Linked DNA regions of Mytilus edulis. Each later gene encodes a partner of the first gene's protein in a complex. Links are inferred from orthologs where the notes say so. Each region holds a gene or a part of one and is shown on either strand. Other genes may lie near its edges.

The links. Proteins that work in one complex are often made in the same cells at the same time.
Region 2: transcription initiation factor TFIID subunit 5-like (region 1) and TATA-box-binding protein-like share a complex: the UniProt entries of both Caenorhabditis elegans proteins name them as parts of the TFIID basal transcription factor complex. The link is inferred for Mytilus edulis from reciprocal best matches to the Caenorhabditis elegans genes taf-5 and tbp-1.

Annotation. Positions count from the first base shown.
Region 1 is NC_092357.1:14,766,157-14,773,312, forward strand, and holds the start of transcription initiation factor TFIID subunit 5-like, read right to left. Parts: upstream 3,024-7,156; 5' UTR 2,945-3,023; coding exon 2,846-2,944; intron 61-2,845; coding exon 1-60. UniProt on the Caenorhabditis elegans protein: The TFIID basal transcription factor complex plays a major role in the initiation of RNA polymerase II (Pol II)-dependent transcription.
Region 2 is NC_092346.1:58,840,884-58,847,938, reverse strand, and holds the start of TATA-box-binding protein-like, read left to right. Parts: upstream 1-4,034; 5' UTR 4,035-4,357; coding exon 4,358-4,441; intron 4,442-5,093; coding exon 5,094-5,281; intron 5,282-5,694; coding exon 5,695-5,874; intron 5,875-6,970; coding exon 6,971-7,034; intron 7,035-7,055. UniProt on the Caenorhabditis elegans protein: The TFIID basal transcription factor complex plays a major role in the initiation of RNA polymerase II (Pol II)-dependent transcription.

The DNA of each region.
Region 1 (7,156 bases):
TTGTGGTTTAACATCATCATCTGTGACCCCAGCCTCTTTCTTTAACAACTCTTCTGTACACTACAACAATAAAAGTGAACAACTTTGCACAACTCAGTTCAACATCTCCTTATTTTTATATAGGGTTTTTACCACTTACAATAGTAAATGTTTGTAATGTTTTACTAGTCTTGGAAATTGAACTATTTGATAACGATGCAGACTGGTAGACCAGTAAAAACCTAATATTGACCTTTGGACTGAAGGTTCACATGACCTACAGTATTAGCTACGGTCCCCAAATAGTCAAAAAATAGCATAAGGACCTAAGAGCTATGGTTCCGCAACTAGTACAATATATGCCCTGATCAAAAAATTTTGAAATTTTCAGAAATCTTTCAGAAACCTTTCTTCAAAGCAAACTTCCAACATTCAGGATAATTAATGAACACATGCTAAAATAAGTGATTTATTAAATGCATGTCATTTTGTTTCTGTGTAATGTATTATAATGTCAATTTTAAAAGCTTACCAGAGCTTGTGTTTATTTGTTTGCAATGTATGGACAATGAATAAAATTTTGATTTACATGGAATGTTTACACAAATGTTTTGAACCAGGAATTAATACTCTACAAGGCAGCACTCGCACCCGCAAAGTGGAAAGGGATTAATATAAGTTACCATAACTTGTTTCCCAATCCTATAAATAAATATGTTTAAACTAATATTATTCTAATTTTAACTTATTAATTCATGTAAACAATAAACTGGTCTAATATAAACAAAACAAAGATATTAAGATTGTCATAGCGACATCACACCATATCTTCAGGGATGATTCCAGGTGTTTTCAAATGGGTCCCTTGAACATCAAATTGGGAATTTTTATTCTAATTGGGAATTTTTTAAGCATAAAATCTAAGACGAAATAACATTATTTTTCTGAAAAACGGAAAATGTATATTATTAAGTTTAACCTGTCATGTCTGTACACTGATGTTCATGTAAGTTGTAACATTTTGAATAATTCTGGATGGGCTACTGTTATTACATGAATATCATTGAACATGATGCACTAGTCTATCATCTTAGCTATAGTTACTTAGGCCTATTATAAAAACATATATTTCAGCTAACATTAACCATTGAAAAAAATCATTCATCAGGTATTTTTTCAACAGCAGGTCATCTCTATAAATTTACCTGAATTCAAATGGATTTCAAATTGAACTGGTCAATTGTCGAATTCAGAAAAGCAAAAATTTTACAAAGGTTCATATACTTGATTGATAAGATATCTAAAGCATTGAACCAGTGTTCTTTAAAATTATTTGGATCATCTTCAAAACTTTTGAAATAGTTCAATAATGATGACATCGTATTTCATGAATGGTCTATCATCAACATTATTTTCAAAAAACGCTCAAACTTTTGTCTTTTGAGGAAATAATTTCTTTTACAAAACAAGTGTTCATCATATTATATAACTGGCTCTGCTGGGCAATCTGCTTTTACGAGATCGGCGTCCATTAAACCTTATCCATCAATGTTATATTTGAATTTGCTCTCTGCCGAGGTCTGCTTTGACACCCATTTTTATCAACCTGCTGGCCGATCTGCTTTTACAAGATCCAATACTACCATAACATATCAATTAATTGTATTCGGCTGTTTAAATTGTTTCCCACATGTTGACATAATTGAATCGTTGTTACTAAGATGCGACCGTAAACAGCATTCTTATCTGGATTTTAAAACGTTTTGACAACAAACTATGAAAAATTATAGTTGCCTTAATCGGTGACAGAAACTTTTCCTGAAATATCGATTTTATTTTATTTTCCTGAATTGGGAATTCATTTTCATGTACATTTTTTGGGGGCCGCTGGCCAATTTAAGGGCCGCTCAGCGGCCCTGAACTATATAGTGGAATCATCCCTGATCTTACAATTGTGTATTACATGTATGTATGTGGACTTGACCTTCTTTTCGAGCTAAGTTTTGTTTACATTTGAAAACATGCTATTTATGAACTGAGGGAATAAGGAAAAGTAGGCTAAAATCAGAAAATATTATTTTTACTGTAAACAGGCTATTATTTGAACTTGGAATTATTTTTAATTATGGAATTTGCATAATTTCTTGTGTTTAAATTTTTTTATAAATTCCATGTTTATTTGGTATTATGATCTTTTGAGCGGTTAATAACACCAAGGATTTGTATAGTACTATACAAATCCTTGATAACACTTTCCATACAATGGTGTTGTGCGCAGCACAGTACATTCTATTAAAAATATACTATTTTCTTTGTTAAATAGAAAGTGTTGTGCGCAGCACAGAACATTTCAGTACAGACTAAACATGGAATTTATTAAAAATTTCAATAACACGAAATCAAGCAAATTCCATAATTAAAAATAATTCCAAGTTCAAATAATATTAATAGCCTGTTTGTTGTAAAATGTCTGAAAACTTGAAATGTTGAATTTAATGCTTGCTTGAAGCAAGTTTTATTCTGTCCTTGAAATACCAACAAATATAGAAAACATGAGCGATTTCGCGTACTACTTTTATTTTAACCATGCACATTGCTATCGAGAAATGATTACTACGAGAACAGTTGACTACACAATACTTTAGGCCTATGGCTCATCTTTTTTGTTGTGGTTTGTTTAAAATAAAAGTTTTAGTTCAGTTAGGATAAAAGGTAATGTACTGTTAGTTTAGACCTGTATTGACTATTTAGGCTATTGGTTTGGGAAACTGACTTCAGAGTATTTTCAAGTTACCACTAACAGGGGCGAAATAGCGGGCATAATTAATTATATACGAAGTTGATCAAGATATATAGATTGGTCGACCTTTAAGTTGTTTTTCTTTAGAAATTGTAAAACAGCTAATAGTGTCTGTTTGTCTGAAACATCTGATTTAGGAGAAGACTGTGACTGTAAACTATTCATTTTAAAAGTGGTTTTCGCTTAATCTGTTAACCGTCCGCATCTTCACACACCATAGGGAAGATAGGTATAGGATTGGAAGGTACCAGTCAATAGTCTTTAAATTTTCTATAAAAATAAAATGAACAAATAAATAAACTAAAAGTAGATGCATATTATATTTCAGAAAAATATTTATTGTTTCGAATTTGCATGTGATTGATATCATTTATATGTTTATTTTATAGATTATTCCTAATGCTAAATAACCCATTTTGAACATAGGCTATGTCCTTTCTTCCGCTTTCGTGTTGCTGGTAGGTCGTATGAAATTTTCGAAAAACAAATCCATTTGAATCACTCTAACTTTTTGTCATCTTCTGTTAATTTGTTATTCTACAGTTGTATTTTCATCTCTTTCAGATAATATAGCAAGATGAGAGCAAAGGTAAGCATGTAACTTAATATTTTTTATCGAATTAGTCTTGCACATAAACATGTCGGATAACACGCATTTACGTCCGACCATTGATGAATGTTGTTTGTTGCGGGGAGAAAGTTCATTTGTGACACTTAGTGAATTGCAACATACTGCATATCAGAGTTCTAATGATATGTGGCAAAACTGTTCGTGATGTATAAATTTTAATTTGAGGTCTTTGAACGTAAAACTTGGACCATGTGGACTGCTGGTGCAGCATGCGAAGCCGAAGTCCGTGGGTGTCTGTCAACACATCTCGTGTCTTGTAGTAACCAATTGTTCAACAATATCTATTATATTTATTATTCATATTTACAATGCGTGTGCTTAAATTGAATACTAAGATAGCCTAGCAATTCCAGAAATTGACCCCCCTTTTCTGCCAGGTAATGGTCATAATCAACGAACCATCGTTTAGTGCGCATTTATGACTACCCCCTCCCCCAAAACTTTTCAAAGAAAGCCATATAATTTTCAAAGTTGAATTGTTTCACGTGTTTCAAAAGTAACTGGATTTCCACCTTATTGCTGAACCAATTTTGAGTGGCAAGTACCAAAAAACTTCCCAAACCCAGCATCTTTCATATTGGCCTCGGAACCTTACATGTAGCCAAAGGTCTGAATGTTATATATTTACTATGAGAGCTACAGATTTTTCCCCTTCGAAACGTTTGGAATTTCACTTATTTTCCAAAAATTTGTTAATAATCCATGCCAATGAGAAAACTCTCCACAAAAGACCAAAATGACAGGTATCGGGACCGTTCGCCCTAATAACATGTTGGCCCTAGGTTCGTTCGCCCAGAGTCCGTTCGCCCTACTATAAAAATATTAATAAAATATTCAGGGCTAAAATTTAGTATAGTTTAGTTTAAGTTGAATAAACTTATTCAGATATTTCTATGGTATATATATATCATGTATATTCTTGAAATTTATGGAAACATTGAAATATTTAAAAGTTTATGGTTTGTTTATGATCTTTAATTGTTCAATGACAAAATAATTCGGATAACTGATTATTGTGAAACTTGTCTTTTGATGGATTAATAATAAAAACAAACGTTTTATTTTAATAAAATATTCAGCTTGAAATTAATAAAACCAATGATGTACGAACTGTAAATTATGAAACGGATTTACAAGTTCATTATGACAATAATTTATACTGCATACTTTCGTGATTGACTGATTACAATGATTTTGTTAACAAATATCAATAAAGATAAATACATTGTATTCCAGTATTCTACTCTGCAAATCAAAGGGAAAATGATAAATTGATTGCGGCAATATTAATATTCTGTCAATTTTTCAACAAACTTTAACATATTTTGTTCAAATACTTAAAATAATGCGACAAGACAACAATTAGAAAAAAATAATAATCAGGGCGAACAGGTACTAGGGCGAACATGAATCAGGGCAAACGGACCCGGATTCAAAATGACATAGCAATTATTAACTATGGGTCGCCCAATGGCCTTCAACGATATAGTTTGTTTCGTTTCATATTTTTTCTAGGATATGATGTACCTATGTATGTTTGAGTATTTATTTCCTTAACATTATCCTATTTACATTTGTAAACCTCCGTCTAATTTGTTCAGCCATATTGAATCTCGTTATGAGTGGTAAAATTTTATATCAAGTTTACATTGGACTTCTCTTTTTCAGTGGCGTAAGAAGCGTATGAGGAGGTTGAAGCGTAAAAGGAGGAAGATGAGGGCAAGGTAATTATATTAGCTTGTATAAGTAGTGATTTAATTTGGTCCTGCTGAAAAAGGTTATAAATTAGAACTTGAGAAGCTGTCAATATTTCAGTTTGGAGCCTATTTCTATAATTTTGATATAATTTGTCTTAAAAGTAGTAGTACAAACTAAATAAATTATATTGAGAAAGTGCAGGTGGTATTTTTTTTCTCCTCTCTCCTATATTGTCTAAAGAAATGCACTGTGAACTATCTGGACCATTTCCAAAAGATCAATACACCTTTTCGCTAATTAGTCTTTTCCAGGGGGAATTGTTACCAAGACAAATTGCTGATGAGATGGTTGAACAAAACTAAAGTCATCATCAATGAGCTGAGAAAAGAGTGGCCATTTGAAATTTTGCTAGTTAAAAGAACGAATTTTAAGCCCAACCTAGGACCATTAACTTGTTCGGTTTGTGAATCTGTCTGTCCGTCCTGCTCAATTTTTTGGTCAAGGTAGTTTTTTCTGAGGTTACACATCTACCATATGACATGATTAATATATGATTTTAATGTCAAATTAGTTTTGACCTTAATTTCACTGTCATCTGATCAGTAACAGAAAATGATAGTGCGAGTTTGGCATTATTGTTACATGGATGAAATTTTGTCAATAGATGAATTAAGTCCATAAAAATGTTTTGTTAGGGTAAACAACGGTTAAATGATGCCTCTGAATGAAAAGTTTGAGGCACGATATTTTGTGTGAACAAAGCCAACACACTTCAGATGGGAATGTAGTGAAAAGGTGTATATCAATGGAACGTGGATAACATAACTTGTCAAACAAGTGAACAGATTTTCAACATTCACTTTCGTTATAAACCTACTTGGTTCAGTAGTGAAGTAGCTGCAAATCCAGCCAATTTTGTGTCATTTCCTTCATTTGTTATATATTCATTTGTCCTGTGAAGAACGAGAACAAAATGATACAACAATTCGTCATAACAGACCAGATGACAGAATTTAATAACAATGGTCACCATCAGACTTTCAACAATGAGCTAAGCCCATATCACAGTCGACTATAAAAGGTCCCGAAATAACTAATGTAAATGAGATAAAACTGACGGCCCAATTTATGTAAAAAATAATGAATGAAAATGAAATATGTAACCGCAACAAACGAGGACCACTAAATAATAGGCTCCTGACTTTGCATAGGCACTTGCAGAATAAGGCAGGTTTAAACATGCTCCCAATCATGTGACGAGTGGTTCATCACTGCAGTCTGCACGGTTAGCCACTAATCCGATGCCCCAGACTAGTAAAGTTTCTTTCAGACTAGTAAGTTTTTGCAAAACTTTGTTTGGACCAATAAGAAAAATGTCGGAATATTGGTCTTCGGACTAGTAGTTGAAAAAGTTTTTGGTGCAGACTGCATCAGAATAGTACAATACATTCCTGAAAAATCTCAAAACATCATTTTGCCTGTTCCAACCCCCAAGTTTCTTGATTTGTAGTCTTAGACGTTTAAAGTAATTGAAATGAAGACTGAACGTGATTGAAAATATGAAACACTATTATACTCTACACAATTGCATTCTGTTTTGTCATTGAACGCAAGATATCCATAAGTTTTAACGTTATTAGGGTTAATGGTTTAATCAACTACATGTACATTTGTTTACTTTCAGGTCTAAGTAGACGTTGCCATCGTTTATTTTTAAGACTCCAATTGATGTGTTCAGCTATAGACCAAGGTATTGCAACCATGTGTTCAGTTGAGAACTCCTATTGATGATGATGATGATGAAAACGATGATGATGAATTAGCGTGGTCACGTGATCAAAGTCTTAGTTTGACCAGGTACCATGCTTTCGACTGAAAACATGGCTGTTTTAACAACAATATGTTGTCATGGTCATCCAACACGACTTACAACAACAGCAACACAAAGCAACAACAACATTTTGTCATCAAGGGCTCAACTTTGGGAACTATCTTTTAAGAAGAAAGAGGAAGAAGAAGAATTGGTGTCTACTGCGTGGAAGTCTCCA
Region 2 (7,055 bases), on another chromosome or scaffold:
CTTTACTGACTAACTCCTACTGATGAAAGTGTAAAATTAATCTTACGATAAAAATATTTAGTTGAATTGTTATGGAATATTTTAGACTTACGATAAATTTTACGCTTAATATTTTGGTGAAAAGGGCTACAGGGTCCCCTACAGGGTGTTATGTAATTCGTGTAATCCTATAACCGTTCAACGTCATCTTGTAAGAGCGTTTCGTATATCTTCGTTTTTTCTCTATTCTACATCTAGGCTCGCCTAGCCAATGTCCCTTAAAGTTTGTCCTTGTTGTGATCTAACCTCTGAGAGAAGGATACCAGATTACAATCCTTAGTTATCGATTATGTCTATTGCATTGCAGCATTTACTTTTAAAAGTACTCAATAAGAAAATACCAGACAGACAATTTTTTAAAAAAATAGTTTAATTGCATGCATAATTGTCCATTGATTATTATTCTATTGCTGTGATCCCATTATTTAATATATTTTTCTTGGCTTGCTAGTTTGAAGTATTTGGTTAACTCCATTTGATATGGTTATTTGATATGTTTTAGATTGTGGTTTTTTTTCCGTTTTGTCCTCACAATGACTGATATGGGTTTGTCGACTTTACTTACCGGTTTTCTGTTGATTTTTGGCTTTAAAAGGCAATGTGCTTTCGGGTTTCATATCTACAAAAAAACTGATCTAAGATCCTTATGTTGTCACGATTAATTCTATATTGATCTTTTTCGTTACGAAAATATAGTTAAATCTGTCCAGACTGAGATGAATCAAGTGTTTTTCGTTTGGTTAATTTTTGCAAAAAATATCGTTATAGTGGATCATCTTTCCAAGTGATTGAAGTCTCCACATAGCAGTATGTGAATTAATTCAAATACAAACAATTGTATTTAGTTGTATAACTTGTATTCCATAATTCTTATCAACCCTCGACTAAAATGTTGTCATCCATCTCTTTCTCAGTCAACGGAATGGCTAAACTAATATAGTCTCTGTGAGCAATTAATATACTCGATTATGAGTGTTCCCACGTTCAATGCTTTAGACTCCTACAATAATTTTGCATCAATGTCAATGCCTTCTTGTAATCTTCAACATACTTAAAGTTAAGAAGTATTATGTAGATGCAGATATCATGTAAAAGTGCTGTGTGCCGGTTTAAAAACCCAATGGATGTTTTTGGCAGCACATATCTTACTTATTGAGAGGTGGTTTTATATAGTAGTGTTTTCTTCTTCATGCAATTTTCATATAGTGATTTTTGACGTGTTTTAGCTCACCTAGCCGGAAGGGCCAAGTGAGCCTTTCTCATCACTTTGCGTCCGTCGTCGTCGTCGTCGTCGTCCGGCGACATCTGTTAACTTTTACAAAAATCTTCTCCTCTGAAACTACTAGGCCAAATTTTACCAAACTTAGCCACAATCATCATTGGAGTATCTAGTGTCCGGTGACCCGGTCAACAAACCAAGATGGCCGCCATGGCTAAAAATAGAACAAAGGGGTAAAATGTAGTTTTTGGCTTATAACTCTGAAACCAAAGCATTTAGAGCAAATCTGACATGAGTAAAATTGTTCATCAGGTGAAGATCTATCTGCACTGAAATTTTCAGATGAATTGGACAATGGGTTGTTGGGTTGCTGCCCATGAATTGGTAATTTTATGGAAATTTTGCCGTTTTCGGTTATTATCTTGAATACTATCATAGATAGAGATAAACTGTAAAGACCAATAATGTTCAGCAAAGTAAGATCTACAAATAAGTCAACATGACCAAAATGGTCAGTTGACCCCTTAAGGAGTTATTGCCCTTTATAGTCATTTTTTACCAATTTTCCGTAAATTTTGTAGTCTTTTACAAAAATCTTCTCCTCTAAAACTACTAGGCCAAATTTTACCAAACTTAGCCACAATCATGATTGGAGTATCTAGTTTAAAAATGTGTCCGGTGACCTGGCCAACCAACCAAGATGGCCGCCATGGCTAAAAATAGAACATAGGGGTAAAAAGTAGATTTTGGCTTATAACTCTGAAACCAAAGCATTTAGAGCAAATCTGACATGGTGTATAATTGTTCATTAGGTGAAGATCTATCTGCCCTGAAATTTTCAGATGAATTGGCAATGGGTTGTTGGGTTGCTGCCCCACAATTGGTAATTTTTAAAGAAATTTTGCTGTTTTAGGTTATTATCTTGAATATTAGTATAGATAGAGATAAACTGTCAACAGCAATAATGTTCAGCAAAGTAAGATCTACATATAAGTCAACATGACCTAAATGGTCAGTTGACCCCCTCAAAGAGTTATTGCCCTTTATAGTCATTTTTTAACAATTTTCATTAATTTTACAATTTTTTGTTAATTTTTACAAAATATTTTCATCTGTGTAACTAAAGGGCCAAGTTTATTATAGATAGAGAAAATTGTAAGTGGCAAGAATGTTCAGTAAAGTAAGATCTACAAACACATCACCATCATCAAAACACAATTTTGTCATGAATTTATCTGTGTCCATTGTTTAATATGCACATAGAACAAGGTAAGCGACACAGGCTCTTGAGAGCCTTTAGTTTTTGTAGCATTCATTTTTAACATAATTTCAACTGATTCGATTTCAACATTCAAATTTTCTTTATTTTTCTTTTCAAAATTCGCTTTTAACATTCTCTTTCAACATTCACCATCGTTTTCATCATTCAACTTTCAACATTCCGATCCCAATTCGTTTTCAACTATAATTTTATAATTTTTTGTTAATTTTTACAAAACATTTTCCTCTGTGTAACTCAAGGGCCAAGTTTATTATAGATAGAGAAAATTGTAAGTGGCAAGAATGTTCAGTAAAGTAAGATCTACAAACACATCACCATCATCAAAACACAATTTTGTCATGAATCCGTCTGTGCCGGTCCTTTGTTTAATACATGTATGCACATATAGACCAAGGTGAGCGACACAGGCTCTTAAGAGTCTCTAGTTTATTACTGTTTCTCATGTCTATCTCTAAAAATTGTTCTTTTTCTCTGATGATGGTCTCATGTTTTGTATAGCGTTTTTGTTTTACTCCTGTAATTTCTTACCATATAGAAGATGCATATATTATACTAGACATCCAAGAATAGCCTCACATCAACAGAGTAGTCAACATGTAAACATGTTTTTTAATGAGCCCAATATTGAATGACTTATTTAGAGTGCGTTATGGGTCTTATAGACCTTTTTAATTCCACGAAGTACGTGTAGATGTAGTTGACCGTCCGTCCGTCCGTCCGTCCGTCTCATAATGGGTATATAGCTATTCCGGATAACTCCTATTACAGTTGATCACAGTTGAAAACGAATTGGGATCGGAATGTTGAAAACGAATGTTGAAAGTTGAATGATGAAAACGATGGTGAATGTTGAAAGAGAATGTTAAAAGCGAATTTTGAAAAGAAAAATAAAGAAAATTTGAATGTTGAAATCGAATCAGTTGAAATTATGTTAAAAATGAATGCTACAAAAACTAAAGGCTCTCAAGAGCCTGTGTCGCTCACCTTGTTCTATGTGCATATTAAACAATGGACACAGATAAATTCATGACAAAATTGTGTTTTGGTGTTCATGATGTGTTTGTAGATCTTACTTTACTGAACATTCTTGCTACTTACAATTTTCTCTATCTATAATAAACTTGGCCCTTTAGTTACACAGAGGAAATAATTTTTGTATGTATGTTCTATATCTTCCTACTTGAGTTAGAAAACCACCATGGGTTATGGTGTAAAAAGGAAGACATTTAACACAATGTATCGGTACAGATTTAATGTGAGGATTTGCCTATCCAGTTTCCCAGCCTTGCCGTGACGGGTCATACTACCAGAAAGTTAACCATGCTTTCCCAAAACAATAAGTACAATGTAATAAAGCATACGAACACACCCATTCACTTTTCACGTCCGCTCTAATCGGCATGTTCCACTCAACAAATAAAATTTTATTAAGGGCGAAAATTATATGTGGCGATTAAACATTAACTTTATGTCCTCGCATTTTCTTGATGTTCTAAGCGATTGATTTTTTCTTATGAACATAGGCGACAGTTTCCGCGGCTGACTTTATTTGTTAACTCTCTAAAGACCGACAACGTGATGTTCCATGGCCTATTTGAACTGCACATAGTTTCCCTATGAATTTTTCCGACAAGAATAGTCTACCTTGTAAGAACTAACCAATTGTGTCGATTAAAATTCCCATGAAAAAATAAAAATGAGTGTGTTCGGTGCAATGCCAATAATTGGGTGAATTATTCCACCGCCTTAACACAACGAACACCACTTTTCAGTTGGTAGCGAATAGGAAATTGAAATAGTAGCTGAAGAGGGAAAAAATGGATCCAAATCAAGGGAATTTTGCCTCATATGGCACTGGCTTGACTCCTCAGCCTATGCAGTCGCCTATGCAGTCAATTCAGGTAAATTTTGGACCAATAATTTGCAATACAGTCGGTTAAAGAGCTCACCAGAGCTCATGTTTTCTCTGTTATAATGTATATATATGCCGACTCTAAATAAAATTTACTTACTTACTTACTTACTTAATACATCATATTACTGTTTGTTCGCCTTAATTTACAGGACATCACAGGGGTTCCTACAAAATTACAAGATATAATATTTTGACGCCACAAAGTGAAAGTGATTGTTGTATGATGTCAAAGCTTCAAGAGACACAGATTCCCAATAAACAATATAAGATCTATAATTTGCCAAATAATGCAAAGTCATTTAACCAATTAAGATTTGGCTTATGACTGACTACTAAAATAATGTTTACAAATGTACATGTATGCTACGTTGGTCCTTTTAGGAATTTTATTTATGACTTCATTATGAATGTATACGTAAACAAAGAAAGGCAATCAGCCAGTTATTTTTTTGACTCCAAGTATAATTTATATAATTGGTTTTTCTTTCTCAATCAAAAAGAGTCATTGTAGAAATCCACTCAAAAACATGTAAGGAAAAAGGTGAAGACACAAAAACAATGTTCAAAGTATCTGTAAAACCATGTCAAAACTATATCTCTTGGTTGAAACTACTGAAAAATTGTTACATTTATTTCAGAGTCCAATGATGTCACCAGCAATGAGTAATTTTGGTCTTGGTTCTACTCCAAATCCAGTGATGCCACCATCAAACACAGCTAGTTTGTATCCACCAACTCCTAATCCAGGAGGGCCAATGACACCTATATCACCAGCTACACCAGCATCAGAAGGCATGGGAACTATGCCTTTAAAACCTCAACTTCAGTAAGCTGCTTTACAATTAAGACATCATTAACTTTGGTTAACTTCTGTGAAGAGTAAAGTCTCATTTCTCATGAACAAATGGTGATAGATAAAATTGAGAGTGGAAATGGGGAATGTGTCAAAGAGACAACAACCCGACCAAATAAAAAACAACAGCAGCAGAGGGTCACCAACAGGTCTTCAATGTAGCTAATGATACATGTATCTACCCTCTTTCAAAGTACAATATGCACAACCAGATAATTTTGATATGTGAGACTTATTTTACTATCATTTTTATGTCTATTTCTTTATCTCAGAAATCCACACAATGTAATACATTTTATATTTCTACTGTAATACTTGTAAATCATGTGCAAAATGTATATTATATAGAGTGCAGGTTTATTCTCAAACATACTGTTTTCTTTCAGAAACATTGTCTGTACTGTAAATCTGGGCTGTAAACTCGATTTGAAAAAAATAGCTTTACATGCAAGAAATGCAGAATACAATCCTAAACGATTTGCCGCTGTAATTATGAGAATAAGAGATCCTAGGACTACAGCTTTAATTTTTAGCTCTGGAAAAATGGTGTGTACAGGTGCCAAAAGGTAAATAAATGTGTTGAGTAAATTTGTTTAAAGTATGCCTACATGTATTTCAATTTGTCAATATATATTAATATCATATTGGAACATTATGGAAAAATATCAAATTTATTTGTATCAGCTTTAGAAATAGGAAGAACATTTAGACTTGCTGAAAGTTGCTGAGCATTTCTCCTAGCAAATACAATTAATATATGTTTCTACCATGTATGACTGTGGTGTTAAGCAGGAAATGTACATGGCATAAGCACAAACCATAAAAAAGACACCAAAGCGAACTCTGACACAAAACAGTAACTTGTTAAATTGATCAGGATTAACATCTTTGTTTTTGGCAGAAACTAATTGTCCTATATGATATGTTGTAAAGACACTTAGAAGGCATGTTTAAGAATTAACATTGAACCAATGTTTCATCAAAAGTTGGTCAACTATGACCCCACTTAGCCACTGACTAAGACCTAAGATATGCATCTTATATTAGTCCTAATACTATCAGGGTTGTGTTCAATATCGTAGCAGCTACATAGATCTACATAGTGCTACATAGATTGTTGTCTACTGAACGAGTAGCTAGCCTAGCTGCTATCAATATCTATGTAGCAGCTAGGCTACACGTTCAATAGTCATAAATCTACATAGCCCTTAGTAGCTGCTACAATATTGAACACAACCCTGATCTACAATCATACAAATTGGTATATTAATGGATCTCATGGAGGATAAGTTGTCTCCCATCAGTTGTTTGTCATTTAGACATACATGTACATGTATGTGTTTCATTCTTCACTTCTTATCACAGAGTAAACTTTTATTTAGTAGGAATATCAAATGCTCTCTTAAAACTCAAAGGTACATTTTGTACATGTACAATGTATAAGAAAATCAACCTCTATTTATACTGTTTTATTTTGGGATAAAGAATCAACACTTTTTGTTGAATCGTTTACTTTATATATTAAAAAAAAGTGTTTTTTTAGAACTGATTGTGAATGACCTCATTTCATTTTTAATGTCAGATAACTGATTCATATGTGAAACATTTTGTGATGTATGTAGCGTGTTGTATTATTTATATTGTTTTGTTTTTCTTATACAGCGAAGATCAGGCAAAATTAGCAGCCAGAAAGTATGCAAGAATAGTACAGAAACTTGGATTTGCTGTAAGTGCACTGATATGCATA